2 linked regions of the Oryctolagus cuniculus genome follow. The protein of the gene in region 2 purifies or fractionates together with the protein of the main gene of each other region. This does not show direct contact. Links are inferred from orthologs where the notes say so. Each region holds a gene or a part of one and is shown on either strand. Other genes may lie near its edges.

What was found.
Region 1: the proteins of LLGL2 (region 2) and PARD6B purify together in Homo sapiens (affinity purification with mass spectrometry; 7 studies listed by BioGRID and IntAct, counting the BioPlex papers as one, with this or other methods). This does not show direct contact. The link is inferred for Oryctolagus cuniculus from reciprocal best matches to the Homo sapiens genes LLGL2 and PARD6B.

What each region holds. Positions count from the first base shown.
Region 1 is NC_091442.1:10,155,686-10,170,811, forward strand, and holds the start of PARD6B (partitioning defective 6 homolog beta), read right to left. Parts: upstream 9,168-15,126; 5' UTR 8,851-9,167; coding exon 8,785-8,850; intron 3,120-8,784; coding exon 2,897-3,119; intron 1-2,896. UniProt on the Homo sapiens protein: Adapter protein involved in asymmetrical cell division and cell polarization processes. Probably involved in formation of epithelial tight junctions.
Region 2 is NC_091448.1:5,042,207-5,057,513, forward strand, and holds the start of LLGL2 (LLGL scribble cell polarity complex component 2), read right to left. Parts: upstream 9,837-15,307; 5' UTR 9,684-9,836; intron 282-9,683; 5' UTR 179-281; intron 1-178. Other genes in the region: TSEN54 (tRNA-splicing endonuclease subunit Sen54), read right to left, coding at 10,873-11,023, 11,392-11,508, 11,793-11,853, 12,323-12,951, 13,095-13,196, 14,634-14,686. UniProt on the Homo sapiens protein: Part of a complex with GPSM2/LGN, PRKCI/aPKC and PARD6B/Par-6, which may ensure the correct organization and orientation of bipolar spindles for normal cell division.

The sequences.
Region 1 (15,126 bases), on a different chromosome or scaffold from region 2:
AAGCCTTAGAAAAAGCAAGTGCATGGGGCTGGTGTGGGCATCCCATATGGGCGCCGGGTCTGTCCCAACTGCTCCTCTTCCAGGCCAGCTCTCTGCTGTGGCCCGGGAGTGCAGTGGAGGCTGGCCCAGGTCCTTGGGCCCTGCACCCCATGGGAGACCAGGAGAAGCACCTGGCTCCTGGCTTCAGATCGGCGCAGCTCCAGCCACAGTGGCCATTTGGGGAGTGAACCAACGGAAGGAAGACCTTTCTCTGTCTCTCTCTCATTGTCTATTTGTCAAATTAAAAAAAAAAAAAGAAAGAAAGAAAGAAAAGAAAAAGCAAGCGCAGAGTGCAGAAAGAGCAACAAGTCACCCAGTCTGGGGGGGGGAGGGGGGGGCATGGAGGAAGGCGCCGGCCGGCCGACCAGAGAGGACTCCATTCTGTCTGCGATGGGAAGTCACGAGAGCTTGCCTTTTTTTCCTCTTTGTTGAAAGATTTATTTGAAAGGCAGCGTCAAAGGACAGAGAAACAGGCCTTCTGCCTGCTGGTTCACCACCCAGTCGGTTGTAACGGCAGGGGCTGGGCCAGGCCGGGTGGGCGCAGGAACCCCGGCTCTTGGGCCATCTCTGCCTTCCCAGCCACAGTCGCAGGGAGCTGGATCGGAGTGGAGAGGCTGGGCCTCACATCGGCACTGGCACAGGATGCTGGCCTCCTAGCTGCGGCCGAATCGACTGAGCCACAGCACCAGCCCCAGCAGGACTGAGCCGGCTGACAAACCCTGTGTCCGGCCGCAGTCACATCTGTACCTGTCCTGAGACTTTATCTTCGCCACAGGGAATGAAAGCATCTGTTCTCACAGAAACATCAGAGGTCCATGGAAATGCCATTACGGAAAACCGCACAGATCTCAAAAACCTCCTGCAGCAAAATAGTTCTCTCTCATTCCATTTTTGCACAGACTTTTTCAAGGACCCTCACGAAAGCATCCAGAAGTCTAGGGCCGGTACTGTGTGTTAGGCTGCCATCTGCAGCACCGGCTTCCCATATGGGTGCTGGTTCGAGTCCCAGCTGCTCCACTTCTGATCCCGCTCCCTGCTGATGCACCTGGGAAAGCAGTGGCAGATGGCCAGGGAGGTTGGGACCCTGCATCCATGTGGGCGGCCCAGAGGAAGCTCCTGGCTTCAGCCTGGCCCCGCCCCGCCCATTGCAACCATCTGGGGAGTAAACCAGCAGATGGAAGACCTCTCTCTCTCTTTCTCTCTCTAATTCTGACTTACAAATACATAGATAAATCTTTAAAAAAAATTGAAAATTCAATAAAAATTATACCACACAGTAAAGAAAAACCCTAACAGGAAACAGCAGAAGATCATTACCCTTGTAAGAGGCCAGGGTTAACCCCGCGAGCACACACGTGTCACCATTCCAGTAAGAAAACACTGGTGGCCAAACCCACTCTCACCATCTCTCTAACAAAGGGAGTACCCAACAACATTGCGTCAGGTGCTTGTAGTTTGAAAAGCGAGCCACGCAGCAGCCCCACGTGGAACAGAGCTACAGCCATCACACAAAGGCAGCTGCCCCCCACGGCCACCTCAGACTCCCTCCTGGGCCTGCCCCTCCCCAGCATTCCACACATAGCTGCCCTGCTGCCCGCTCGCCTGCTCGGAACTGCAGGAGTGCTGGTGGCCAGGTTCCCACCCGAGTCCCAGGCCCCTGCACACGGGGCTCAGCGCCCCAGCCTGAGAAGATGGCTCGTCCCGGGACTGAACCTGCACTCTTCTTTCCCAATTCCACTGCTCTCGTCCGCGCTCTGCTCCCGACGCCAACCCCGCCACGGGGCTCAGAACCACGAAGCCGGGCTCCGCTGGACGCCCGCAGGCAGCCGGCTGGTGCTCGCTCCCGCCCTCCCTCCCCTCTTCCCACTGCAGCTCCCTTGACCTCTGCCCCCCCACCCCTCCTGAACAGACAAATCAACCTTCCTACAATTATACTCTGGCTCCACCACACCCCTGTTAAATGCCAGGTATGTCCTTCCCAGGGGTCTCGGGGAAATTAATTGTGTGTGTGTGAGAGCGTGTTTTCTATAAACAGGCCAGGGACAGAGAGAGCCACTCTGAGAGGTCTGCTTTGTTGGTGGGCTTATTTCTGCAAATCCAGAAAAGCAGACACCCAGTCGGCCAGTGGCAAAGCCCTGGGCGTGGCACAAGCTTATCAAGGACGAGAAAGAAGGTCTCAGCGTCAAGGATAATCCCCACGCGATCCCCGGGTCGGTTTACAAACACTGCCAGACTGCAGTGGTCTCATCACGGGCGCAGTGCCCTCGGGCTGGCTGCCCACCCCTCACCCTTGACCCCAGTGCCAAGATTCTCCCCCGCCCGTCTGCAGGCAGCACACACAGGGCCAGGGAACACGCCTGCCGGGCCCCGCCAGGGACTAAGGTCAGCGTTTACACCCTCCGGAGCCGGGCCACCTCATTTCGGGTAGGCAGCTAATTCCGCACCACTTCTAGGAGGAACGCCCCGGCCGAGAGAGAGAGGAGGAACCACTCCAGAGCTGACGACGCGGACGTGCACGAGACGCAGCGATTGCGTGCTAGGCGCACAGAGCTCGCCCGGCGCCGGCCTCCCAACCCCCGTGCTGCCAGCCCCAGCTCTCCTCCCCCAGGCTCCCTACAGGCAACAAAGTGAAGTGATAAAGCCCTAATCCCCGCGTGCGCACATGCACACACACACACACACACACGCACACACACACACACACACACGCATGCACACACACACACACGGGCGGAGGACACCCGGGGAAGCGCAGACACTTAGTGAACCAGCAGTGTCACAAACGCCTGGACCTGCTTGCCGGCCACCGCAGGAAATGTTCTCTCCGCCACCGGGAAGACCTCAGCAGCGCACTCACCCTTCTTCTGGATGAAAATCCTCAGCAGGGGGTTGGCCGTGGACACGGCTTTGTGGTAGTTGTCGTCGTTGTTGATGGGCAGTAAGTCCCCGTGCACGTCCGCGTAGCCCACCAGCACGTCGACGTTGGGGATCTTGTGAACGTGCTGCAGCAACCCGTAAAACTCCTCAAACTTCCCGGGTTTCGATCTTTCCAGTGAAAATCGACGAAATTCGGCTCCAAACTAAAAGTGTAACACGCAAGGCATGAAGTGTTAATTCTGAGTAAACATAAGACGACAATGCACACCACAGAAAAATCAGCAGGCATAACCGTATCTCCTTCACCAGGACGGTGTCTGACACACGACAGGGAGGGGGAGGGGCGGGGAAATACCATCGGGAGATAAACCCTGCAGGGGCGCCTCCCCACTGCACTCCCCCCAGAGACCCAGCTCCACCCCTGAGCTACCCAGGCCTCCCTGGGGACGTCCTGCCCCGGGCATGACTCAGCTCAAGCAAACCCTGCGTGCAGCCCGGACTCCCCCCACTCAGGTCAGAGGGCACGAAAGGAGGGCTCAAGTCTGCCTCCCGCCCTCCAGCCACGGCCTCCAAGTCCATCAGAGGACCTAATCTCCCGGGATGGGGCAGGAATCAGCAGACGCACAGGAACAAGGCCACTGAGCGCGTGCTTGCGGACAGAGGCCCAGCAGGACGCAGCACCCTCTCTATGACGACGCAGACAGCGCCACTGGGCCCATAGGCCCTGGAGAGGGAGGCCTCGGCCCGCTACAAAGCTTCCCAGTCCCACAACACAACACAAAACAAAAGGCCCGTGTGGATCAGTCTTGCTGCAAATACACTGTCCAACTTCGTTTAAGTTGTTGCCAAACTGACAGCAATGATGCTGCTATAGTTTCAATGATGCTGTGACTTAAAACCCGGATGCGTGAGGCTCCGCGTCTTCTCACCCACTGTGTACAGCCCTGCCGCTTCTCCTGCTGGACTGCGCTACCGTCTCTCCACTTCTTATCTGTCACACTCTCTATAGAGCTATTAGGGCTTCGACTACAGTGAAAACTAAAAATCTTATCTCAAAAAAATTTTAGGGGCTGGTGTGGCGGTGCAACAGGTTGAGACACCAGTATCCCATATGGGCACCAGTTTGAGCTCCACTTCTGATCCAGCGCCTTGCTAATGCGCCGGGGAAGGCACTGGAGGACGGCCCAAGTGCTTGGACTCCTGCACCCACGCGGGAGACCCAGATGGAGCTCCTGGCTCCTGGCTTTGGTCTGGCCCAGCCCCAGCCATTGCAGCCATTCAGAGTGACCCACGGATGGAGGACCTCTCTGCGGCTCCCTCGCTCTGCTCTCCCTTTCACATAGATAAGTCTTTAAAAAGGAAATGAATTAAGACCACGTTCTTGTCTACAAAGCATGATTACTGGAGGGAGGCAGCGAGGACCACACACGCCAGCTCTGGGGCTCAGCTCTGCTTCCCTCCACTCCGGCCCCGGTCCTGCAGTGGCTCCTGGTCAGCAGCCAGTAGCGGCCTCCTCACAGCCACCAGACGCAGGGTTTACAGCTCTGTGGGCCTCACAGGGCACTTCCTCAGGGGTGGGAGCCTAAGGTAGCGGAACCAGCTTCCCACACGACGGGGAGTGGAGCTGAGTGAGGGGCTCCCACAGGACGGCCACCGCTGCCAGGGCTTGCACAGGACGGCCACCACCGCCGGGGCTCCCAGGACGGCCACCGCTACTGGGGCTCACAGGACGGCCACCACCGCCGGGGCTCCCACAGGACAGCCACCGCTGCCGGGGCTCGCACAGGACGGCCACCGCTGCTCTCCGGATGCAGCCCAGCACACCTGTGACTCTACAGTCTACAAGGTTTCAACACCATAGTCACCGGCGCTGCGGCTCACTAGGCTAATCCTCCGCCTAGCGGCGCCGGCACACTGGGTTCTAGTCCCGGTTGGGGTGCCGGATTCTGTCCCGGTTGCCCCTCTTCCAGGCCAGCTCTCTGCTGTGGCCAGGGAGTGCAGTGGAGGATGGCCCAAGTGCTTGGGCCCTGCACCCCTTGGGAGACCAGGAGAAGCACCTGGCTCCTGACATCGGATCAGCGCGGTGCGCCAGCCGCAGCGCACCGGCCGCGGTGGCTATTGGAGGGTGAACCGACGGCAAAGGAAGACCTTTCTCTGTCTCTCTCACTGTCCACTCTGCCTGTCAAAAAAAAAAAATAAAAAAAAAAAACACCATAGTCACCTGTCAGTCTACAATCTATGTTTCAATACCACAGTCACCTGTCACTCTATAATCTACAATGTTTCAACACACTGACACCTGTCAGCTCTATAGTCTACAAGGTTTGAACACCACTGACACCTGTCACTCTACAGTGTACAAGGTTTCAACACCACTGTTACCTGTTACTCTACAGCCTACAAGGTGTCAATACCACGGTCATCTGTCACTCTACAGTCTACAAGGTTTCAACACCAGACACCTGTCACTCTAGAGTCTACAAGGTGTCAATACCACTGACACCTGTCACTCTACTGTCTACAAGGTGTCAACACCAGATACCTGTCACTCTACAGTCTACAAGGTGTCAACACCATGGTCAGCTATCACCCTACAGTCTACAAGGTGTCAACACCATGGTCACCTGTCACTCTACAGTCTACAAGATGTCAACACCATGGTCAGCTATCACCCTACAGTCTACAAGGTGTCAACACCATGGTCACCTGTCACTCTACAGTCTACAAGGTGTCAACACCAGACACCTGTCACTCTAGAGTCTACAAGGTGTCAATACCACTGACACCTGTCACTCTACTGTCTACAAGGTGTCAACACCAGACACCTATCACTCTACAGTCTACAAGGTGCCAACACCATGGTCACCTGTCACTCTACAGTCTACAAGATGTCAACACCATGGTCAGCTATCACCCTACAGTCTACAAGGTGTCAACACCATGGTCACCTGTCACTCTACAGTCTACAAGGTGTCAACACCAGACACCTGTCACTCTACAGTCTACATAGGTGTCAACACCACGGTCAGGTGTTTGACCGCAGGACTCGTTTTCCTTGGAAACATCTGATATTGTTAGCAAGAAATACATAGTAGGAGCTCAACCTCAGTAGCATCAGGCAGAGAAAGCCCCAATCCTAGCCATTTTGGAAGTGCATAAACATGCTGAATCAGCTCCCCAGAGGCCTTACTGGGTATCTGGATGCACTGTCTGCTTTACAGAAAAGCCCATCAGCTCTGCTTATGCCCTAAACACCACTCACCAGGTTTACGTTAAAATTAGAACTCACCCAAACCACCTCTTGCTGCTGATAAATAAAAGTTTGCAAAACACATTCCTGAAATATAAACACTAATATTCATCAAGAAAATAAGGTGACTCATATCCAAAGCTCTCAAAAAGTTCGGTCACACCTTCATGTTTCAAAGCAAATAAAAACTCAGGGAACACCCTTCCTATCAGCCAGTCTATGATGTTATCAGAAGTCACAGTTTCTCCCCCATTCCCTGGCTGGCATCACAGCACAGGCGGCCGCTGCGTCCTGATTCGTCTCCGGGTTATCACTCAGCCTGACTCACCACCCGGAACGACAGCTGAGAGGTTAACGTTTCGGGGGCTTCACTGCTTCGGCTCGAGTGTGTGGATGAGAATTCTTTGCTCAACAACCTTTTTCTCTTGCTTAACTCATTTGATAAAAATAGTGGGAAACCCTATGGCTTCAAAGTCAGATATGCCCTCTGTAAATGCTGGCAGGGGAAACACACTAGAGAAACTGTCACGCTTCCTGCAGCAGAACAAGAGGGTAGAGAACTTTTTACCACACGAAGAGAGCTGCCAAGAGACAGACTCAAGACTCAAGCAACCATTCCCCACTCCAGGACCCATTCACAGCTTTGTTTAACCGGCCTGGTTCCTCCCAGCCATTCACAATGTGTCAGACTCCCGCCCCCCACTATCTGCTGGCACATTTTAGAAATGACAACTTAATTTTAATGTCCTATTCGCCTGTGAGTAATTAGGAACTGTTCCGGCTCCAAGACTGTCCCAAGGTTACTAAAGGGCACCTCCATCAGTACTGAGAACTTCCCCAACTCTAGAGAAACAATTAGGGAGATAAATCAGTTACCAAAGAAAAGCCACGTGGTTTCTGGTATCACGAATTCAACCAGCTTGTTGACACTGTCCACTATGTTGATTACCTGTAACCATTCTTCCCTTCCCAGGCCAAGGTAATCCGGCCGACACTACTGATGTCCAGGCAGGGGCCGAGGACCCTGAGACGGCTCCGCCTGCTCTCCAGTGCTGGCTCCAAGCCCGCAGCCACGGCTGCCCCAGGAGCCCAGAAAGCCGAAGCAGCACCAAAGCAAAATGTGCTTCAAAAATCTCCCGCAGCAGAGGTTTTTAAGAGGACAAACAGCTTATTCAACCCATTCAGAAGTAAACACATCAACAACAGACATCGAGAAGCAGGGGCACGGGTGGCCGGGGCCCTCACTGCTCTGCCCATCCTCGCGGGACCACAGTTCCCGGCGCCTGGTCTCAGGCCGCCCCGATTCCACCTCGTGGCCGGCGCAGGCCTCGGGACGCCGGCAGGCCAACACCTAACACCCGGTTTGGGCCTCAGGTATGTGGGAGATTCTCAAGTCAGCTGACAGGAGGCGGCGAGAGCCTGGCATGCCAGCCCGCGCCGGGAGGAAATGTTTGCTTTCTTTCAGCAGCGCACCTACTAGCTCCACTCATTTTTTCCCTGCCACTTGCTACCAAGGTCGGCCTGGAAGCGGAATTTTGAGTGATGCAATATCACAAGTGCCTTTTCTTGACCTCAACTCCCACAAACCCGAGATGTGAATCCCTGCCCTGCTCCGCCGGGGCCCACGGAGGCCGCGCCGCGATCACAACCGCACTCCCCCGACAGGACGGTGGCCGAGACCAGCAGCCACCCCGGCCCGGCCCAAACACCATCGTCCCGCCGCGTCCCGGCTGCAGAGCCGCGCAGAGCCGCGGGACGGGACCGCCGCGCGCCCCGGCCCCTTCCGTCAGGACCGCCGGGCGCCCCCCGGCCCCGCGCCCCCGGCCCCCTTCCATCGGGACCGCCGGGCGCCCCCCGACCCCGGCCCCTTCCGTCAGGACCGCCGGGCGCCCCCCGGCCCCGCGCCCCCGGCCCCCTTCCATCGGGACCGCCGGGCGCCCCCCGACCCCGGCCCCTTCCGTCAGGACCGCCGGGCGCCCCCCGGCCCCGCGCCCCCGGCCCGCTTCCATCGGGACCGCCGGGCGCCCCCCGGCCCCGTGCCCCCGGCCCCCTTCCGTCCACGCGGCTTCGCGACTGTGGAAGCCGATCCGCTGTTCTCCTCCAACGCGCTCCGGCCTCGCCGGGTCTCTCCGAGCCGCCGCGGCTGGCACGGCCCAGGGCCTGGATTATTCTCGCTCAGGAGCGCCGAGCCGCGGCAGGCGCAGCCCGCGGAGCCCACCTGCTCACCTGCCGCCCGCCTCCGGGACCGGGGCCTGCGAGACTCCCGGGCCGCCAGCAGGGCCCAGCTCGGAACCCGGGCAGCGGACGGCGGCGCGGAGACCCCAGCGCACGCGCTGCGGGTGCCGGTGCTGATCCGCAGACGAAACGCGCTCCAGGGCTCCCCAGGAATCCGCCCGGCCGGGAGCAAAGCAACCCAAAGGGCGCTCGCCCCCTCGAACCCGAACGGGGGGACCGGGCGCCTCCGGCCCTGCCCCGGACAGGGCGCCCCACGGCTCCCACCTCGGAAACCAGAAGCCGGCGCCCCCACCCCGCCCTCGCGGGCCCCCGAGGCTCGGCCCGCGGCCTCCCCCGGCGCCCGGCCTCCCGACCGCCGCTCCGCCCAGGCCGGCCCCGCGCACCTTGCTCTTCACCTCCATGGTGCCCAGGCAGCCGCTGCCCGCCCCGTGCCGGTGGCTGCGGTTCATGTCGAGCGCCGGGCCCCGCGGCGGCCTCGTCGGCACCGGCCGCCCCTCGGGCGCGCGGGGAGCGAGTGCGCGGCGGGGCGCGCGGGTTCGGAGGGCGGCCGCGGCCCGGGCGCTCCGCGCAGGCACCTGCAGAGGGGCGGGCTGCTCACGCGGCGGGACGGAGGGGCGCACTGGCGGCGCGGCGGGCGCGGACGCTGCTCCCTGCCTGCGGGCCCGCGGCGGCGGCGGCGGCGGAGGAGGAGAGGGCGGAGCGCAGGCTCCCAGCGCCGCAGCCTCGCTCTCGGCCACCTCCCCCGCGGGCCCGCGCGCGCGCGCCCGAGCCGGGCCAGAGCCGCGGCGCGTGCGCGCGCTCACCTGCAGCCTCCGGAGCAGCCTCGGCCGCTCGCGCTCCGCCCACACCCAATAGGAAGCGCGCACCTGCGCCCGCGGCGCCAACCAATCGAAACACGACTCGCGGGGCGCATGGGCGGGCCTCCCTCGACAAAGTCCCGCCCGCCGCCGCACGATTGGTCCCGCGCGGCGGGGGAGGGGCGGGATTACCTGAAGCCCGGGGCCGCCTCTCTGGACCCCGCCAGAGAGCTGGAGAGCGCATGCGCAGGAGCTCGAGTTTCCGCCCAGAGAAGGCCGGCCGGAAGCGCAAGCGCACCTGAGGAGGGAGTCCGGCGGGTGTGCCTTCTGCGCACGCGCGGGCGCGCGCCGCGGGACTTGGTGCCGCTTGGGCTGGCGCAGCTCGGCGCGCGCTGGTCACTCGCTCGGTGCGGGGGACTGGGCGCGCGGCCGTATCGGTGGCCGAGGCACCGAGTGGCTTGCTCGGCCCCCGCCCTGCTGTGACTTTGGGTTGTGTCGCCCTTCACAACGCCCCCTTCCCCACCCTTTCGTGTTTTTAGGGTCCCGCTGCAACTCTCGTGCGCAAAATTCAGGTTTTTCGCCTCTGCGCGCTTATCTGAGGGAGCGCCTCGGCTCCGTGGGCTGGGCTCTGCGGGAGGCGGCTGCAGCCCGCCCCCACCCGTCCGTCGGGTCCCCAGGGGTCGGTGGGGGGAGCGAGGGGGCCTGAGGCGCCGGGGGGGGGGTCCACGCAGGGTTTCCGGATCCCGCTTAGCCTGGGCCCTGGGGGGGCGCGGACGGGAGCCCCGGGCCCTGCCGCCCTGCGAAGGGGCTCCCTGCATGCCGTGGAGACCCCCTCCTGTGCGAGCAGATGCCTGGGGTGCTGCTGCTCCTGCGTCCTCGGGACCTCCGCCCCTAGACCCCAGCCCCCTCCCGGGCCCCGCCCCCTCCCGAGCCGCGCCCTGGCGGGTGCCCAGCTGACGGGGAGGTGTCTGCTGGCCAGCCGGGTCCAAAGGTGAGGAATTCCTCTCCCCGGAGCCGTGGGTCCGCCCGGGCGGAAGCGCAGGTGGAAACCGCCCCACGCTGAGCAGGGCCGCCCTCTTCACCCCGCGGGAAAACACCTGTGCCGCTCGGCGCCCGCGTGGCCAGGGGCAGCTGCAGGCGAAACTCGCCCTTCGCCTTCGTTCGGGGGCTCTGCTCTCGGCTTGTTTGGTCTCAAGAGCCCCCTAGACTACTGCAGAGGGGCCCAAAGCGTGTTCGTGTGTGTCAGGTCTGTCCGTGCTCACGGCATTGAGAGAGACGCGTCTGCAGCACGCGCTCCAGCTGCCATCCGTGATGTCATCACGTGCCGTGTTCCTTCTGGAAAACCCCACGGTGGGCTGGGAAGCAAGGCGCAACACCTGGGCGTCGTGAGCATGTGGCGTGGCAACCCCCCAGGACGGCCTGGGGCGCCCAGGCGTGCACTGTGATGGCCGCTGGACCAGGCTCGGTCGCCTGGGATTCTGCGTTCTCAGCTCTCGCCCTCCCTGCCCTGGGAGCAGGGCCGCAGCGCTGAGCCACCGCGGGGTGACGGAGCTTTATTGCTAGCAGTGCTGATTTATCAGGGCTTTTGAGAAGGAAGTTCCCGGGTGCCAACGCACCTGCGTGGGCCCGCATTCCTGGAGGTGGCGTCACATCCCCCTCCCCCGGGCGTGGCCTCCCTCTTCTCTTGGACTTTCCTTTCTGGATCCCGAGAGGAGCTGGCTCTGGAGGCCTGCATCACCCATCCCCGGGCGCCTGGGTTGTGCAAGGGAGGAATGAGGGAAGAGGTTCCAAAGTGATAGAGGGGCCGGCGGCGGCTTCTCACAGCCGTGGGGCCTGAGGCTCACCAGGCCTGTGTTTCAGCCTCCGCTGAGAAGCACGAAGCCCAGAGGCGTGGCTCAGAGAGGGATTTCTGTCCCTGCTCTGCTGTTTGAAGACTGGCCCTAATCTTCTTTCTCCCCGCCCCCAAATCCTCCCGTTAAAGCTGATCCAGACCTCCCCGTGTGCAAAGGAAAGCCAGCTCCACGCCTGGGAGGGTGACCGGGGCTCCAGTAAGGCAGGTGGTGGACAGGTCCACACCATCCTTGCGCAGGACCAGGCTCCGGAGATGCTCACGCCCCGGTCAAGCTTCTTACCCGCCCGAGGTCTGAAGGAATCGGGGCTGGGCTCTGCCTTACTCTTTCCCAGAGTTCTCTAAGTTCCGCACCCCCCCCCCACCCGCGACATCTAGCTCGCCAGGTGGAGAAAGTTTGTCATCTTCCACCGCCAGCTTTCTCAGCTGACATCCTGCATGGCGATGCCTTGCTCTCTCTCGCTCTCTCTCTCTCTCTTTCTCTCTTTCTCTCTCTCCCTCCTCTCCTTCCTCCAAACATCAGGAGAGCGGCAAGACGTCCCAGACGATGCTCGGAGACATTTTTCCAAGGAATCACTCTCGCCAGCTCTTTTTCTCCTTGAACGCCCAAGCTCCAGTTTTGAGGGAGCTGGTTAATAATTCTTCGAGAAAGCGCCGAAGTGGATATTTATGAATCTCGGGCTATTCACCCAAGCATTTTAAGCCCTTTAGCAGAGGTGGAATGAAGTCACATGACCTGCTTTCTGGTTAATAGCTTATCATACTTGATTGCTTTGTGGCGGGGCCGGAGCCGTGGCGCCCACACCAGGGAAACGTGGGGAGGATTTCCTGCAGCCTTTCAGTCAAAGGCTGCCCTCCTGGGGGGCTGCATGTGCCAGGCACCGTGCCTAACCTTGCCCTTGGCTTGGTCCGGCCATGAGTTTGCTGTCTGACCTTTTTCCTCTCTGGGACTCGATTCCGCATCTAAAAATGCAGGCAGGGATGAGATCATCGCCGCGGTTCCTTCCAGCTGTGAGTGGTCTACGGTTCCCCAGGGGAAGTGCAGATCGATCGTTAGCCCAGCGTTCCCGGCCGCGGGCTGCGGTGGAGAGAGTGGTCTTCCGGTCGGAGTCTGCAGCCCGGGAGGCACTGGTGGAGTCAGTGATGGACACACAGGCCTCGCAGGTGCCAGGAACGGTGCTCGGTGCTTTTCCATGGACTAACTTACTTGATGTTTTTAGAAACTTTTTTTTTTAAACTTTTTTTTTTAAAGGCTGAGTTTCAGTAAGAAAGGGAGAGATAGAGATTGGAATCTTCCATCCACTGGTTCATCCCTCAAATGGCCACAATGGCCAGGCCTGGGCCGGGGTAAAACCAAGAAACCAGACTCCATCTGAAGCTCCCACATGGGTGGCAGGGGCCCTAGTGCTGGACCTTCCCAGGCACATCAGCAGGGAGCTGGCTCGGAAGTGGAGCAGCTGGACACGAACCAGCGCTCCTATGGGCCAACAGCTGCTCAATCTGCTGTACCACAGTGCCGGCCCCTAAACGCTTTTTTTTTTTTTCATTTTTTGGATTTATTTGTTTATTTACTTGAAAGGCAGAATAACAGATCTTCCGTCTGCTGGTTCACTCCACAAATGCCCACAAGCCAGGGCTGGATCAGGCCAAAGCCACGAGCCAGAAATTCCATCCAGGTCTTGCACGTGGGTGGCAGAAACTCCAAGTACCTGGGCCAGCATCTGCTGCCTCCCACACACTTTAGCACGAAGGTGGATTGGAAGCTGGAGTCACAGGAACTAGCCGCTCGGATATGGGATGTGGACCTGCTGTGCCACAACGCCAACCCTTAGCTCATTAAATTTTCAGTTGCATGAAGGAGCTTTGAGCTTTATTTCTGGAGGCACTGTTTTTTTTTTGTTTTGTTTTGTTTTGTTTTTTTTTTTTTACTTTTTTTTTAAATGCAAAGTAATAGAAAGAGAAGGAGAGATACAGAGATTTTCCCATCTGTTGGTTCACTCCCCAAATGGCTGTGACAGCCAGGGGTGGGCCAGGCTGAAGCCAGGAGCCAGAAACTCCACCTGGTTTCCAATGTGGGTGGCAGGGGCCCAAGCCTGGGCCATCTTCTGCCTTCCTGGGCACATTAGCAGGGAGTTGGATCAGAAACCAACAGCTGGGACTACAACTGGCACTCTGATATAGGATGCCAGTTTTGCCACAATGCTGGCTGGCCCCCAGAATTTTTTTTCTTTTGATGATTTTTTTTTAAGTGTTTATTTTAATTGCATTTGAAAGGCAGAGAGTCCCAGAGAGAGACAAAGAAAACAGAGATCATCCATCCACTGGTTAGCTCCCCAAATGGCTGCAACAGCCAGGGGTGGGCCAGGCTGAAGCCAGGAGCCCCAGAACTCAATCTAGGTCTCCCACGTGGGCGGCAGGGACCCGGGTGCTCTTGGGCCGTCACCTGCTGCCTCCCAGGACGTGTGTTAGCAGGAAGTTGGATAGGAAGTAGAGTAGCTGGGACTTGCAGCGGGCACTCTGATTGGGACGCAGGTGACCCAAGCAGTGACCTACCCTCCGTGCCAGAGCACCCGCTCCGGGTCGTGCCTTGTCAGCTGATGGATGTTCGTGTGGGTCCTTGCTCTGCTCCTTGATGGCTGAGTGGCCTCGAGCCTGTTCCCTGACTACTCAGAGCCTTGGAGTTCTCTCCGTAAAAGCAGACTGCCATGTCTGGCTCAGATTGAACCCACGGGCTCAGCCCACAGAATGCCAGGGACCTCTCAGTACTTACTCCTTACAAACACGGTGGTCTACCAAGGCTTGGGAAGGAATTCCTTGACATAAAATGCAAACATGCAATGAGCCATTCTTCCTGTTTTCACACACCTCTCAGAGGAGCCGGGAGGCAGCCTAGAGTGGTCGTTAGGGGCAGACTCAGGCCACATACCCACAGCCAAGTCCTGCCTCTGCTGCTTCCTGGCCGTGTGACCTCGGGCAAGCTCTTGGCTCCTCTGTTTCGTCTGTAAAATAAAGATAATTAATTGTCTTAATTCACATACAGAGTGCTTAGGGTGGGTCCCAGCCCAGAGTAAGGACTCCATAAATGTCCCATTATTGCTGTCTAATGATTTTAATCACTTATTGCCATAGTAGAATTCTTGAATGTGCCGGGTATTTATTAAGTGCCAACTGTATGTGCTTGGCGTGAGTTAGAGGACAGGATAGTAACCAAAGAGTGAGGCTGTGGGCGCTGCCAGCCGGTCCCTCAGAGTCCACAGATGGAAGGGGTCAGCCGGCCCTCAGCACCTGGTGGACGAATGTGGACACAGCAGAGTGCTTGCCGCCAGTCCGGCTGAGCAGTCAGGCCCCCGGGACAGAGCTGCAGCTGTCCCAGAGGGGGCGCTGCAGCTGGCATCTGGTCCCAGCGGCCTGTGGATCTCGGGCTGCAGACCGCATGGTGCCTGCCTGGGGTGGGAATTGAGGAGAGCAATCCTGTCCACTGCCTGTGACTTGACTGTGTTCACTGAGGGCCTGTTATGTGCCGGGCAGTGAAGGAAACACTGATTTAAAAAGACAAAAGCCAGGGCCCACGTTTGGCCGGGTGGTTAAAACATGAGTTGGGACTCTCGCATCCCATATCGGAATACCTGGGTTCAAATCCCAGCTTTGCTCCCCATTCAAGCTTCTGGCGAATTACCATCCCTGGGAGGCAGCGGGCAAGTACACGGGCTCCTGCCACTCACGTGGGTGCCCCGGTTGGAGTTCTTGGCTCCTGGCCTCAGCCTGGCCCAGCCCGGGCTGTTGCAAACATTTGAGATCAAGCTAATAGGCAGCTCTGACTGCCTCTTTGCCTCTCAAATACATAAAATGTTTTTAAACATACAAAGTCTGGGGCCAGCGTTGTAGCACAGCGGCTTAAACGGCCACCTGCGACACTGGCATCCCACGCGGCTTCCAGTTTGAGCCCCAGCTGCCACACTGCGGGTTCAGCTCTCTGCTGATGAGCAGAGGACGGCTCAAGTGCTGGGCCTGCACCCGCGTGGGAGACCCGGAAGAAGCTCCTGGCTGCAGGCAGGCCCAGCTCGGGCCATTGCGGCCAC
Region 2 (15,307 bases):
ATTTCTGGATCACGAGGGGGAAGGACCAACTGAGCTCCTCTTCCGGCTTCCACTTTCCATTTTCGTGGCCTCCCGCCGGGCACGGCCAGCCAGGCCAGTCCCCGGGAAACACGGGGCTCGGAAATGGCTTCATTCATTCAGCGCGAGGCTCTAGGGGGAAGGCAACGGACCCACTCACCTTGGAACACAGTCACTAGGGCACGGAGGGGGACACGGGTCTCAAAGGGGGGGGGGGGTCTTCCAAGCTGAGGCCTGAAGGAAGCCTTGAAGAGTGTGGTTTCCTGGGAGGCAGGACAAAACTAAATCAGCCACCAGGCCAAGACTCTGTTAAAACAGCCCCCCCCCCCCCGCAGCTCCTGGAGGCACACCCAGGTGTGCGGGTGCATCACAGGGTGGGGGTGTCTCCTAGACAAACCAGGGCTCACCAAGCTGCACTCCCGCAGGCCACCTCCAAACCAAACACCAGGACCACCCTCAGAGCACATCAGCCTGCAGACACCCCCAGAGGGCCAGGGTGTGATGGGGGAGGTCTGTGCCTTCAGGTCTGGGGGCAGCCCACCAGTGCGGGAGCCTCCCACGTCACTGGGAACTCAGGTGCCCACTTGACCTGAGGCCCCACAGCACCAAAGCCCTGGAGGCTCCCGGGACAGGAAGCAGGGATCTCAGCCTCCGCCTCTGTGCATTCCAGCCGTGGGGGAGGGTGGCAGGCTCCTCTGGCAGCCCCTCCCCCTTCCAGGGGCTAAGGTCACTTGGGTCAGAAGCCAGAGGAAGCTGGGAGTGACTCCCTGGAGCAGGAGAGGGGCCTGCAGACTCCAGGGAGGAACACAGATGGCCAAGGACCCCACGCAGGCTCAGAGGCCACAACCAAGATGAGGGCGGGGGTGCCGGGAGGAGGGCGGCAGACAGGATGCAGACACACACCAGGAGGGCAGGCGTACTCAGCGCCCGCCTTTCACCCCAAGGCCCCTGGGAGCACCTGCTGCAGACCAGGCACAGGCACAGCCCCTTTGCTCTCGTAGAAGCAAACAATGCAGAGCAGACCCAAGTCCAGGCAGCCAGGGCAACACGGTACCTCTCTACCTGCTCGCACTCCTGGAGCCCCCTGACAGGTAAGCAGGCTGGGGACAGATGACGAGGCAAAGCCCACAGCAGCTGGGCGACCATACAAGGTCACCGAGCAGGAAGCCACAGCCTTCGGGCCCGGCCCCAGGTCTGCAAACCCCCCAACTCTAAGAGCTCTGGGTAGCACAGGTCAAAGGGTGCCCGACTGCACCCTGCAATCAGGAGGCAGGCCCCGCCCAGACACATTCCCACAATTGCCCTCAGCCCAGAGCCAGGCCCACATCCGCCCCGGAGCGCAGTCTCCCGAGAGCGAAGTGACTGCCCAAGTCGAGTGCCACCTCTTCTCAGAGGACACGAGGGGACAGGTCTGGGCCTGGCTGGACTCACCTCCAGGCAGCCCCTCAGGACCACCCACCCCAGACAAGCAAGTTTCCTGCGGTGGAACCTCAGGAAGCCAGGCCCGGAGCGGCCTGGTGTGGAGCAGATCCTATCTCCCCGGCCCACTCCTGGAGGCAGACAGGGAATGCAGGGAAGACAGCCCCAGGCGAGGTACAACAGGCCAGGGCCTGACCATCACAGCTCAGCCCCTCCGAGCCGAGCCTAGCCTGCGGCCTCCTGCGCTGCACAGACAGCTCCCCTACAGAGGTGCTTCCCCCTGCACGGGTCCCCTGGAAGGAGGAGTAGGGGGAGTGCTGGCACAGCGCTCACGGCGGACGGAGCAGGCCCCATCCCGGGACTGCAGGTGCATGGGATGATTTCCAGCGGCCACCAAGAAAATCAAGATGCTAAGAGCAGCGCCCAGGCTGGGGCGGCTGAAGGGCTCTGGACCGTCCCTTCCCACTCTCCGTCCTCCGCCCTCTTTTGCCTTCCTGAGCGTCGGCCGCGCCGTCAACTCGCGAACAGGTTAGTTCTTCCTCCGGTCGGCTGGTTACCCGCGAAGCCTCCCGCAAGCTGCGGCTTTCTCATTCTTACTCAAGTCCTTCAGTCACTGCCGCATCCTACTGCCCTGGTGAGCACTCACTGTGCAGAGGTGAGAGCGAGAGGCAGGAAGTGGTGGCCACACGGTCAGACTCCAGGGCACAGCAAGCTGGGCAGGACTGACAGGCACAAAGCCTGAAGATGGGACGAGCTTGTTCCGGGAGGACGGAGACGAGTGGGAGGCGGGGCTTGCGGGGCACACAAGGAGCTCTGACAGTCCTGAGCAGGGCCTGTAGGCTGTCCCGCCCACCCCACCCCCCACACCAGATCCACCTGCTCAGCTCCCCCCGGCCCCACCCGCTCTGTCTGGAACGCAGCTCATCTGAAGTCCCCTCCCAAGGGCTTCCCTCTCTCGCTGTGCTCCCGCAGGGTTTGCGCCTTCTGTTAACATGACGCCCTGCTCACACCGTGGGGTGGAATTAGGCCTGGTGGTGAAGACACCACCGCCTCACGGGTGGGAGTCCCGGCCTCGCTCTGGGTTCTAGCTTCCTGCTAGCGAACACCCTGGGGCAGCAGCGGCGATGGCTCCAGGACGTGGGACCCTGCCACCCGCGGGAGCTCCTGGATGGAGCACCCAGCTCTGGCATCAGTTGTTGAGGGCACTTGGGGGGTAGTGAACCAGTGGATGGGGCGCCCATCTAGCCCCACAAATGCTCGCCCCAGCCTCCTGCTGGTTATTAAGCTACGGGGAAAGTGAACCAACCCACTGGCCAGCAACCAGCACAGGCGAGGGGTTGAGCACCTGTCCCCACGGAGAGGGCAGAGACTTCCTGGTGACCTGGACACTCACATGAGATCGTGAGCCAGGCAGGACCTGCTGGAGACGCACACCCTGGAAGAGGCTCGTAGGGCTAGCGGTTAGCAGCGATTTTTGTCTGGTTTCTCTGCCTCCCAGGCAGGGTGGACAACAAGGGGACCTGACGAAGGGTGACGCCCCAGGCGGCGTTCGGGGCGAGGGTGGGGCCTGCGCGACCCGTTGGCAGCTTTGCCTCTCAGGAACCCGCGTGGATCAGCCAGGTCTGAAGGCCGGAGAGCCAAGCAAACAGGCAGGCGAAGCAGCTGCGAGACCTTGGGCTCGAGGGTTCTGACCCGGTGGGGCTGTCCAAGGCCGGCCTGGCAAATGCCCAGACTCCTCTCCAGTGCTCCTCCTACCGAGGGGCGTGGGAGAAGTGACTACCAACGCGGCAGTCACTGGGGACGCCGCGGGGCCACAGCACCACTCCTGGGGCTGCCCAAGAAACACCTTCTCTACCGCTGCCCTCGCCCCAGCTTCTCCCAGACCCCATCCCTGCCCGTGACGGCGTCTGTGTGACCCGACCACGTGTGTGACCCGACCACGTGTGTGACCCAACCAACAACCTCCGAGCCACCCTCCCCGCTCTCCCCCGCCTCAGTGTGCCGTCAGCGTGCTGAGCTGTGGCGGAGTCCTATTTGTTTTCCGGCTGCTGCTGACCCCTGCGGCTTCTGTGCCTGGGGCGTGGCAGTAGCCCGAAAGCTCCCTGTGGCCACTGGTCCCGCAACTTCCGTCTCTTCTCACCGCTTCCATCACCACCACTGGCGCCGGCGGGCACAACAGTCCCAGGGGCTCGGGCAGGTCCCCCACACCCTGACGCCCAGAGGCGGCATCCTCTCAGCGACAGGCCCTGCCTTCCTCCTCCATCCTCTGCCTGCCCCCACCTCATGCATCTCAAGAGCTCAGCAGAGATCACCGGCAGAGAGAGAGACCACCACAGAAGGGCGGGCCCACCTGGAGCCCCCTGCTCTAGGCAGAGGGCTGCTTGTGGAGGGAGGAGGGGGATGCCCGGGTCACAGTGCCCATCCCCCGCAGGCACTGCTGGGGCACCTGGGCTCAGCTGTCCCCATGAGTCCAAGGCTTGGTCAAGCCGAGCCCGTCCTTTCCTGCAGGTGTGGGAAGGGCCAGGAGGAGGGGGAGCGGGGAGGGAGGACTCCTGGGTCACAGTGCCCATCCCCCGCGGGCACTGCTGGGGCACCTGGGTTCAGCTTGGTCAAGCCGAGCCCGTCCTTTCCTGCAGGTGTGGGAAGGGCCAGCCCCCTACGAAGTCCCTTCACAGGTGCCGGGAGAGTCCGCACCCAGCTTCTGCCACAGCTCCCTCCCGCCCTCAGGAGCGCAGGGTGAGGAGTCCGGGCTGATTCAGAAGCTGCCCTCCCTTCCCCGACATCCTGTGCGAGGCCTGTGTGTGGCTTTGGCCTCCGGTGTGGCGGATGTGAGACCGCCCCTGCACCTCCTACCAACTGGAGCGGTGCAGCAGGGCTCGGAGCCACCGGGGCAGCTGCTGACCCCTCCAGCTCCTGCTGGCGCCAGCTCAGCGGCCTGTGTAGTCCCGGGAAGCCTGATGCCCCACCAGCAGCTTAGCAACCAAACCTCAATGCTTGCGGGCACCTGGTGGAGGTGGGGCAGAGGGCACTGTCACTGCTGTTAGGGATACAGGGACCCGGGGCTGAGGCCAGATGTCACTTTAGGGACACTGTGAGCATCATCTGGTTCTTACAACATTAGCTGTTTTCGAAATAACCAACCCGGAGTGGTAGCAAGCCCGGGCAGTTGGTGAGAACCTAGGTCTCAGTTGGAACTCATCTGTACAGCCCGTGTTGGGCTCAGTCCAGAGCCTCTCTCCTGGGACAAAGCAGTACCCTACAGGCTGGGTGAGCCTCTGTGGGGCCAGCTCCCAGCCCCACCAGCCATCCTACAGCCTGAGAGTCCCCTCCATGCATCCACCCCCACCCCCACCCCACCCCGCCCTGCCCTGTGCACGCCCAGACTGGGGGCTTCGGTCCTCTACTGTGAGACAACCTACCATGCTCTCCAGAGAGGCAGGTGACAGAAGTGGTCAAATACAAGGAAAAGCAAAACCATTCAGCGAGAAGATGGACAGTTTGCCTGGGGCCGAGGCAGGCAGGCTACCTAGGCCTGTCCAACTGAGCCCCATTCCCGGACCTTCTACTGCCCCAGAATCACAACAGCAGCCCCAGGGAGCTTCCAGAAGACGCCAGCTCCTGGAGGAGGGAGAGCCGCACTCTCCCATGGCTGCACTGCCAACGACCCACCCAGGTCCTCACACCAAGAACTCTGTCTTGAGTTTTGTTCAATGTTCCCTTCTTGCCGAGGCCCACTCTGACCCCTTTTTAATAGGTATTTTACTTGAAAGGTGTCATTACAGAGATCTTCCATCCACTGATTCACTCCCCAAATGGCCGCAATGGCCAAGGGTGGGCCAGGCCAAAGCCAGGAACTCCATCCGGGTCTCCCACGCGGATGCAGGGGCCCAGGCACTTGGGCCATCTTCCACTGCTTTCCCAGTTGCATTAGTAGGGAGCTGGATCAGAAGTGCAGCAGCCGGGACTCGAACCAGCACCCATACGGGATGCCGGCACTGTAGACAGGAGAGTGGTTTAACCTGCTGTGCCACAGTGCAGGCCCCTTGAACTCCTTTTAAAGCCGTAACCTGCTCCTACCAGGGAGTTCTCAAACCCAGCTCTAATTCTTACGCTATAGAGAATATCACCTTCTTTTAAAAACATTGTTTAAAAAATTCCTATTTATTCAAAAAAGAGTTACAGAGAAAGTGAGAGAGACATGGAGATCTTCCATCCACAAGTTCACTCCCCAAGTGGCCACAATGGCCAGGGCTGGGCCAGGCCAGAGCCAGGAACTCCATCTGGGCCTCCCATGTGAGTGGCAGGGGCCCAAGCAGGGAAGTGGAGCAGCTGGGACGTGAACCGGCGCCCACATGGGATGCCGGCACCGCAGGCAGCAGCTCAACCCGCCGCGCCACAGCGCTGGTCCCGCGTGTTACTCCACATCCCTCCTTCCCGTCTCCCTTTAGAGAGAAGGTTCCGTGACGGCAGAGACCTTTGCTTGGTTTCAGGATTAGGTTGCCTAGCACCACGCCAGGCACACAGCAGGCACAAATAAATACTTGTTCAGGGAGTGGACAGACAGGTGACTGCCCAGGGATGAACCAGGCACAGTCTTCTCCATCGCTGACCCCCCAGGACACGGAGATGCGTCTCTGGACTTGGCCAGGGTCATGGGGTCGCCACACCAGGCCTCCTGACCAGGACACACTGGTGGGCTGTGCCTCTGACCGGGGCTGCAGGACAGCCGCTCCCTGGCAAGACTCCGGGAGTGTGATTAAGTATCAGTGGCGCTTGCCAGACTCCAGGAGTCCCACGCCCGATGTCCCTCTCGTCAAACCCTGGAGCACTGGGTCTCTGCTGAATTCCTGAAACCTAGCAGCTCCCCTGTCCCCTCTCCTAGCTCAAGAATTCACCCCAGCTCCCAGCAAGAGAAGGCATGGCTCCTCCAAGTCCTGGTTTCCTTTGAGAGGCCCGGTGGGGAGAGGAGCCCACCCCAAAGGGAGCTGGGCAAAGCCCCTGGCCAGGCACAGCAAGGGAGGAGGGTCCCCTGGGGGAGGGGGCAGTGCTGGCGGCCCCACTGTGGAAGGTCCCCTTTCCTGTCCGGTACTGTGTCTCCCACAAAGTCGCCAGCCAGCAGGGCATGTCTGCCCGGACCCAGGAGCAGCCCCCACAGCCACAGGGCCCGAGTGAGGGCCCCATGGCGGGTGAGCCCAGGAAGCCCACAGCAGCCTCTATGGCCTCAACTCAGGTGCCTCAACAGCTGCTGCCAGCAGTCTCCAAGAGGGTTGGGTAAGCCCCTAGGAAACCCAGCCCTGGACACTCTCCAGCAGGATTGGGGGCAGGGGCTCCGGGCACCACTTTCTCTCCTGGAGGGAGGGGCTTGGGAAAGTGCTGGCAGGAGAGAACACCCCCTCCCCCAAATGAGGTTGAAAGGAGGCACTTGGAGCTCCCAGAAAAGCTTAATGGCAACAGAGCCACTCAGGAATGCGCTCCTCCCCCGGCCTGGGAGAGGCGGGCACGCAGGGACCCTCTGGCCAGAGCCTAGGGCAGATTAGGTTCTGCACCCTGGAAGGGCTCTAAGCTAAGTCTTCGATCAGCCCTCACTCCCGACTCTCCCACGGAGCAAGGGAAGTATCAAAGGCCACCGGAGCACAGGCCAAGAGAGGCCCCTGGCCTCTACCTCCGCGAGCCTCCTCACTGAAAAGCAGCGACCATGGGGCTGGCGCTGTGGCATAGTGGGTAAAGCCGCCGCCTGAAGTGCTAGCATCCCATATGGGCGCCGGTTCTAGTCCCGGCTGCTCCTCTTCCCATCCAGCTCTCTGCTATGGCCTGGGAAAGCAGAAGATGGCCCAAGTCCTTGGGCCCCTGCACCCAAGTGGGAGACCTGGAAGAAGCTCCTGGCTCCTGATCAGCTCAGCTCCAGCCACTGCAACCAACTGGGGGAGTGAACCAGCAGATGGAAGACCTCTCTCTACCCTTGTCTCTCCTCTCTGTGTAACTTTGACTTTCAAATAAAAAAGATTAAAAAAAAAAAAAAAGGAAAGGAAAGAAAGCAGCGACCTGCAGAGGCTTTGAAAGGTCACTAAATTGCAACCCCTCGGCCAGCCGGGGTCAAATTCACTTCGCCCCTCAGGTTCTTCCAAAAAACCCAGGACCAACCCAAAGATCTGAGCAACCAACGCTTTCGTTCAGGGAAGCCAAGATGTTCACCTTCCTCCCGTGCCTGCTATGCACCCAGCCACACTTGTCCATGATGCGTCCCATCTTCTCGGCAACAGTGACAGGCGCCACAACAGGCTCAGGTGACCCAAGGTCGGTCCCCAGCAAGCACTCCACAGGCCTGGCTTCAAACCGCACCGGGGGCCAGCCTGTGCCGCGGCAGCTAAGAGCTGCTTGGGTTGGCCTGCATGCCCAGCAGTGTGCTACGGCGCACCCTGGGCGGCAGCAGGTGACGGCTCACGTACTACAGTGCCTACCACTCACGCGGGAGACCCACACGGAGTTCCGGGCTCCTGGCTTCAGCCTGGCCCCGCCCCCCTGTTGTGGGCATTTGGGGAGACTCAGGTCTTTGTCTCTGCCTTGCAAATTAAAAATTTTCCATCTTCACGCCTCCTAAGATGTTTGATGCTTTCCCCCCTACTCTGGCCTCTCCGTTATTTAAAACAATGGGGGTCACCTGGGATTCTGGGCCTCATTTTCTTTTTATTTACTTGACAGGTAGAGTTACAGTGAGGGAGAGAAAGGTCTTCCTTCCATTGGTTCATCTCCCAAATGGCCACAACGGCCAGAGCTGCGCCAATCTGAAGCCAGGAGCCAGGTTCCTCTTCCTGGTCTCCCATGCGGGTGCAGGGCCCAAGCACTTGGGCCATCCTCCACTGCCCTCCCAGGCCACAGCAGCGAGCTGGACTGGAAGAGGAGCAACCAGGACTAGAACCCGGCACCCCAACCGAGACTAGAACCCAGTGCCCATAAGGGATGCCGGTGCCGCAGGTGGAGGATTAGCCAAGTGAGCCACGGTGCCCCCCCCTTCTTTCAATACCGTGTCTACTCAGAGATTATTAGAATTAAGTTATATCCACCTGTCACTGATGGGACCCTCTTTCCTCAAGGAAGACCAGGGCCGCAGCGTCACTGAGGCACCTGGGGCCCCGGAAAGAGCGTCCAGGGGCCCACACAGACGGAGCCAGGCTAACCTCAGAGGCCAGGAGGGGGCTTTGGTCAGAGCCTCAATGACTGCTGGCACCATGGGGAGTTCCAAAGCTGACGAATCTCCCACGACCTTCCCAGCGCCTGGCACACACCCAGACCTTTCCCTCAAAAGCCACGCCAAGCTCGGGCTCCCAGGCGCTGGCCCCAGCCCATCGCGGCAGCTGTTCTTCCTACCTGGGTTTCCTGGTCACCCCGACACACCCGTTCCCTCCCAGTTCCCTCCCCGCTCCGAATCCCCTGTGCGGAGTGACAGGCGTCTCCCGAGCCCAGGTTGGGGCGGCCTGCACCTGCAAGTGGAGCCGCTGGGGAGGGGGGGCTGGGGGCCGAGTGTAAGCCCCGCCCTCCTCACCCAAGGCTCACCTGTCTCAGGTGAGAGCCTCAAAGGGCCACACCTGCTGTCCTGGTTACAGTCGCGGCCAGCCACCGGAGTGGCCACCAGCCGTCCAGCACACCAAGGCACACTTCCCTCGGCAAGAATTTTCCACCGCTCGCCACGTCCCGCCGCGCACCCCCCCCACTCGCCGGCGTGCAAAGCGGGGCGGGGGCCGTCGCCTACAGGTGTCCGAAGGTGCGCGGCGCCGAGAGAGGCCCCGAGGCCGAAGTCCCTCCCGCCGGCTTCCTGCGCCCGAGGATTAGGACGCACAAAGGGCCGGCCGGAGGCAGCCCAGATGGCAGGGCTAAGCCTCCGAGGGAGCGCGCTCCAGCCGCCGCCCGCGCAGAAGGGGCGCCCGGAGGCGCGCGCCCTGCACGTGGGTCCGGGGTCCCCGGCCCCGCTCGCGCACGGAGCCCCCCGCACCCACTCGGGCGGGCACCTGCTCCCCCGCTCTCAAAGGCCACCACTGTCGCGCAAACCGCGCTCGCTCGCCGCGGGCGGGTCTGACGGAAAAGTTCCCGGCGGCACTTCCCACAGGTGTCCGTCTCCCAGGCGAGCCGAGCGACCCGGGCGAGGGCCAGGCGGGCGGCCCCGCGCGCAGCCCTCCCCGCCCGCGCCTCGCCGCCCCGCCCGGGGGTCTCGGCCCGCCGCCCGCCCAGTGGGGTCCGTGCGGCCGCCTCACCTGCAACCCGGGCCGGCCCCGCCCGAGGCCTCGGCGTCCCCCGGCGCCGCTCCGCTGGCTCCGCGCGCCGGCCCACGGGCTGCTGGGCGGCCGTCGCTTCCTGCTCACCTCCGGCGCGGCCGGCCCGGGGGCGGAGCGGCCGCTATTTACATAAAGGGCGAGCCGGCCCGCCGCGGGGGCCGCCTCCCCGCCCCGCCCCCCAGCCTGCGCCGGCGGGGCGGGGGCGCAGGGGCGCCCTCGGGGGCGGGGGCCGCGCTCCGGCCAATCCGCGGCCCCGGGGAGCGCGGGGGCGGGGCGCGCCCGGCCCGCCCCGGCTCACCTGCGCGCACCTGGCCGCAGGACAGCACGCCGCGCCCAGTGCCCCGCCGCCTCCTGGAAGAGGAAATAGTTCCCGGAACGCCTGCCAGCCAGACCGGAGGGGCCCCGCGGGCGGCTCCTCCCGAGGGTGCGAGCCCTGGAGACCGCGGTGGACGCTGGGCCGGGCCTCGCCCTCCCGCACCGCGCAGAGGAGTGGTGCTGGGGGCGAGGCCTTCCCTGGGGTGGGCCCCAAACCAGGACCCTCCTCCGTGTCCACTGCGGAGGCCAGCAGCGGCGGGAGTTTCTAGCTCAAGCCAGGGAGAGGATTGGAGAGGCGGGAGCCGAAGGGCTAGAACTGCGCCCCCCGCAGCAGCTGGCAGACCCCCGGGGCGCAGCGTCAAACTAAACCGACCCGGCGCCTCCCGGCCACCCTTGTGTCCTGAGCCGCCCCGCTCTGGTGAAGAGAGGCCCTCCCTCCCTCCGCCGCCCCAAAGCGCGCGCCTCCCAGTGAGTGGCCAAACAGGAGAGGCTGGGGGTCTGTCCGGCATATCCAACCACGCACAAAAATAAAGAGATCCGTTTTTAATGGCTTTGGCTTTATGGCAAGAAGCAGGCACCCTCTCGTTAAAGGCACAGAGTCCTCTCTTCTGGGCCCCCTCCTCTGCCCGGGTCTGAGTTCCGAAGGGGTCCCTGCAAGGCGGCGATCCCGGGTGCGGGCGTTGGCAGCGTGCAGCGGCCAGGCAGGGAGGAGGGGAGTGGTGTCAGGCACCAGGGCCAAGGTCCAGACCACAGGTCAGAGTCCAGGCCCGGGAGGCCGCTGGATGGTCCCTGAGAACAGACAGTCCAGGTCTCCCCAGGGCAGGCTGCAGCCCCTCCGCCCCCAGCCGCGTGGTCAGTGCTCCAGGTCCCTGGGCAGCGTGAAGTCCCTGAAGCTGTAGAAGGAGATGTCGCCATGGTCCACCAGCGCGAAGAGCAGGGGGACGTCCCCGCTCTGGTAGGACAAGCGCTTGAGGCTGCAGAGGTCGGGGACCGGCTCATCGAACCTGCACGGACAAGGGCTGCTCTCAGACCTGACCATCCTGGGCTCTGAGCCCCTCCCAGGCTCCCAGGCAAGGAAGATGGGGGCCAGGGGTGGGGGAGCAAGAATTCTAGCATCTGGGCTCTTCTGCCTGCAAACTGGACACCGGGGAGCCCCCAGCCCTGGGTCTGCAGGGGGCCGGAAGAGAATTCTGAGCCCTGTGCCCACGAACCCCACCGACCTACATCCCTTCTGCTGCACAGGGACCAACGCAGGGGAGAAAGACCTTGTGTGGGCCACTAAACCTCTCCGGACTTCAGCTTCCTCTCAGGCCATCGGCACCCTGGCCAGAGAGCTGGCAGCAGCCTGGGGCGGTGCTCGCCCGGCTCGTACCCGCTAATGCACATCCGGGCATAGGGTTTGCCAGGGTTGTTCTTCCGGAACGTGGCCACGGCGTCAGCCTGGTAAACATCAAAGCTGATCTCCAGGTCCCCGGCCTTGCCCTGCAGCCTGCGGAGATGGGAAACCTCAGGACACAGACTGTCCCCGTCACCCTTCCTGCCCACCACCAGTTCCAGGAAGCCGTGTCCTCTAAGGGGAGGGGCTCCCGACTCCCAGGTTAAACCCACCTGGCGTTGCTCCCCGTGCCCTGGCCGTGAATGGGTACCAGCTGTGGCACGTGGGCAGGGGTCCCTGGCAGGCTCCTCCAGCTCACAACCAACCGCAGGAGCTACATCCCGGCCGCCTACCCCCCAGGGCAAGCAGGGTACCGCGAGCACAGCTCGGACACTCACCGAGCGCCTCCGTCAGCCAGGTGCGCTGTCTGCAGCACAGAGATGTGGTGAAGCACGGCGGCTGCGGAGAGCAAGAGCCAGGGGTGGGCAGGCGGCCAGTCACCCGCGCTCCCGCCATTTCTGCGTCTGCCACCCCCTTTTCCCGGTTAGATTTTCAGTACCTCCGAACCTGTTCATGTGTTTAGCTCAGACCATTCTGGCCCCATTAGGGCCCCGTGCTCAAAATTAAGAGCACAGAGCAAGCCTTCCTCTACCTCCTTGTTCTGCCAAGAGGCGGGAGGAGAGAGGACCACAGCTCACCGGGGGCAGAGGCGCCCACGTCACCGTTTGTGGTTTCAAGGACCGCTTGGCCTGACACACCGCCTCTCCCCCTTGCCGTGCGGGCCCTCTGCTGCCACCCGAGGATCTGGCTGTCCCTGTGGGCTCCTCTATCTTGTGCCTCAACCAGACCTGGCCACTCCACACCCCTTCGGAATCCTGACTCCTCAGCCGTCAGAAGCCTGCCGGGCTGTAGCCGGGGGAGAGGGTACCTGGAGAGTCCGCCTGGCCAGGGCTCAGCAGCGGGGTGACGGGCTGGCCCCACAGGTGCGGCGGCCGGCTCTGGCTCCTCTCCCGGTGCCGCCTCTGCAGCAGCTCCTTGTACGCCCGCCAGCCGGAGCAGCGCCGCACCTCGGGGTCCGCGTTCACGTCCTCCCGGAAGTGCCGCGCCTCCACCTGCTGCTCCCGCTCCCTCTGGGACAGCTTCTCCTTCCGCTGGTTCAATTGCTGGCACCAGGAGCCGGCATCTGTGTCCCGCCCCGCAACATTGGCGGGGAGCAGCTCTGGGGCCGGGGCTGGCAGGAGGGTGTGGCGGCTGTCTGGCGCCATGTTGGGGAAGGAGATCTGGGAGAAGTCCCAGCGCGGCTTAGCAGCCCCCGTGACCCCATTCTCCACGTGGCCGCTCTGCCGGCTGCACCCCATCCCCTCCCCGGCCAGGCCAGGGCAGGGCTCCAGGGACCCCGGAAGAGGAAAGGGGCTGGCTGGGCCCTGTCCTGGGCTCAACTCCTGGGGTTTCTCCTCCACACGTGGGCCGTGCTGGCTGTAGGAAGGAGGGCCGGAGGCCGCCAGGATCTCAGGCTGCAGGGAGTCGTCCGGCGCCTTGGCCTTCTTACTCACGGACCTGAGGGACGCGGGAAAAGCAGTGCATCTGCTCCGGTGGCTGAGCTGCACTCGGCCCCTGGTGTTGCCCTGAGCCTATGTGCCGCCGCCCGAGGCCGGCTCTAAGGCTGAGCCCTCCCAGGTGGCCTTGGGGGGGAGCACTACCGAGAGCTCGAACTCCTCCTCTTCTTCTTGCCAGGACCGTCCTCCAAGAGCTGGGCGCTGCCATCCAAGTTCAGCTGCCTCTCGTATGGGGACAGGACAGAGCTGTGGGTGACAACGGTGGGGGCTGCCTCTCGTAAGGGGACAGGACAGAGCTGTGGGGTGACAATGGTGGGGGCTGCCTCTCGTAAGGGGACAGGACAGAGCTGGGGGTGACAACGGTGGGGGCTGCCTCTCATAAGGGGACAGGACAGAGCTGTGGGGTGACAATGGTGGGGGCTGCCTCTCGTAAGGGGACAGGACAGAGCTGTGGGGTGACAACGGTGGGGGCTGCCTCTCGTATGGGGACAGGACAGAGCTGTGGGGTGACAACCGTGGGGGCTGGGGACAACAGCTCCACCTCTGCACCCTGATGCCCAAGCGGGACTGGTCAGGGCCCCGGACGGATCTGCACAAGGGGTCCACAGAGGGAGTCCACAGACGCCCCCAGGCCTCTGGAGTTAGGACTCCCAGAGTCAGCAATAAGTGATTTATCACTGGTGAGAAAAACCACATAGAGCCAGAAGGCTTGGAAAATACAGAAAAATTAAAATGAAAACTAAAAGCTCTACCAGCCTCATATGTATACACTAACCTTGCTCCATGCTTTTTTTTTCTGACAAAAATGGCAATGCACCAACAAAATGCTTTGCAATCCCTTTTTTTTGTTTGTTTAATAATATTACTACGAACATGACCCCTTATCACTACAGCCACTGGCCACAAGTAGCTATTTAAGTTCAATTTAAATCAGTCAAAATGACTCAGTGCCATGGCTGCACAGGTCATGTCCGGTGCACAGACAGGACATGCTCACAGAAAGTCCGAGTGGACGTCCTGCTCTGAGGGACGCACTCCTGGTAATCCGCCTGCACTTGCTGAACACACAGACCTCCAAGCACACCGACTCGGAGTTCCCGGGGAAGTGCCAGCTCTGCAGGGCCGTGATTTTGCCGTTTCCAGAAACGGACCCAGGGCCTGGCACCGGCCAGTGGTCAGCGAGTGCTAGTGCACGAACAGTGTGGCGTGCGCACATCCGCGCTACTTCTCTAGGCCAGACCGCACCCTTAGGGAGTAAAGGATGCGTCTCTTCAGGTTTTCACGACATACCGTCAAAGTCTGAGGCTCTTAGCAACGCTGGATTCTAAGGTGACAGAGAACACCCACCCTCGCACGAGTCACGTGAAACCTCACAACTGTGAATTCCTTACTTGGTCCTTACTCGGCAAATCTGCCCCCACACCTCCCAGGAGCCAGGCGCAGTCCCACCCTGCATCCCAGGACACACAGTGAGCTGCGGGGCTCAGTGGTCGCCTGACGACCCAGGACAAAGCACAAGGACGGGACCTGTCCCCACGAGCCCTCCACAGAGCACTTCCACCTCGGGCCCCTGGTCCACGTCCAGGGAGCTGCGCTCTAGGTGCAGGGCCACTTTCCTCCTGAGGCTCACTGGCCAGGTCCCGGGACGGGAATGAGCGGGAGGGCGAAGGCACAGGGACTGACCTTGGATGGAACCGTCGAACCACGTAGCCCAGTCTCTTCAGGTGGCTGAAGACCTCGGAGGTTAAAAAAGAAAAAGGAAGAAAAGCTCAGATACCCACTCTTTAACACACGAAAGAGTTTCTGCAGATACAAGATTTCCTGCACCCCTTCCACTCCTCTCCTGGACACCCCCAGACTTCCAAGCCTGGGATTGGCTGGACCACACGCCATCGCACACGCCCCCAAAGCAAGGTCTGTCCCTCCAGTACCTGTCCTTTCCCGGGCCTTACTCTGGGCACGAGTGACACGCAGCAATTTCTAGGCTTACGTGCAAGTTCCAAAAAGCTGGTAGCAACGGATGCAGCAAAGAACCGTGCCCACACCCACGGTGCCAGACGCGGGTGAGAACCGTCTCTGTGTCGCGTCTCCTGCCCCCGTATCACAGGGACGAATCGGGGCGTCTCCCCCACCCTGCCTGGCCTCTCAGCAAAGGGAAACGCAGCTCAGCCCTCCTCCCTGACTTCTCCTGCGCCCCTGGACATTCTCGGTCCACTCCTGTTCCCCGTCTTTCCCTAACCGCCCCAGGTCCCAGGCCCCGCGCTCTCCTCTGGCCACGTGCTCCTGTGCCCACGCGTGTCCCTCGCCTTAACCTCTCCCCACACTCTCGGCCTCTGCCCAGCTCCCTGCGTGAATGT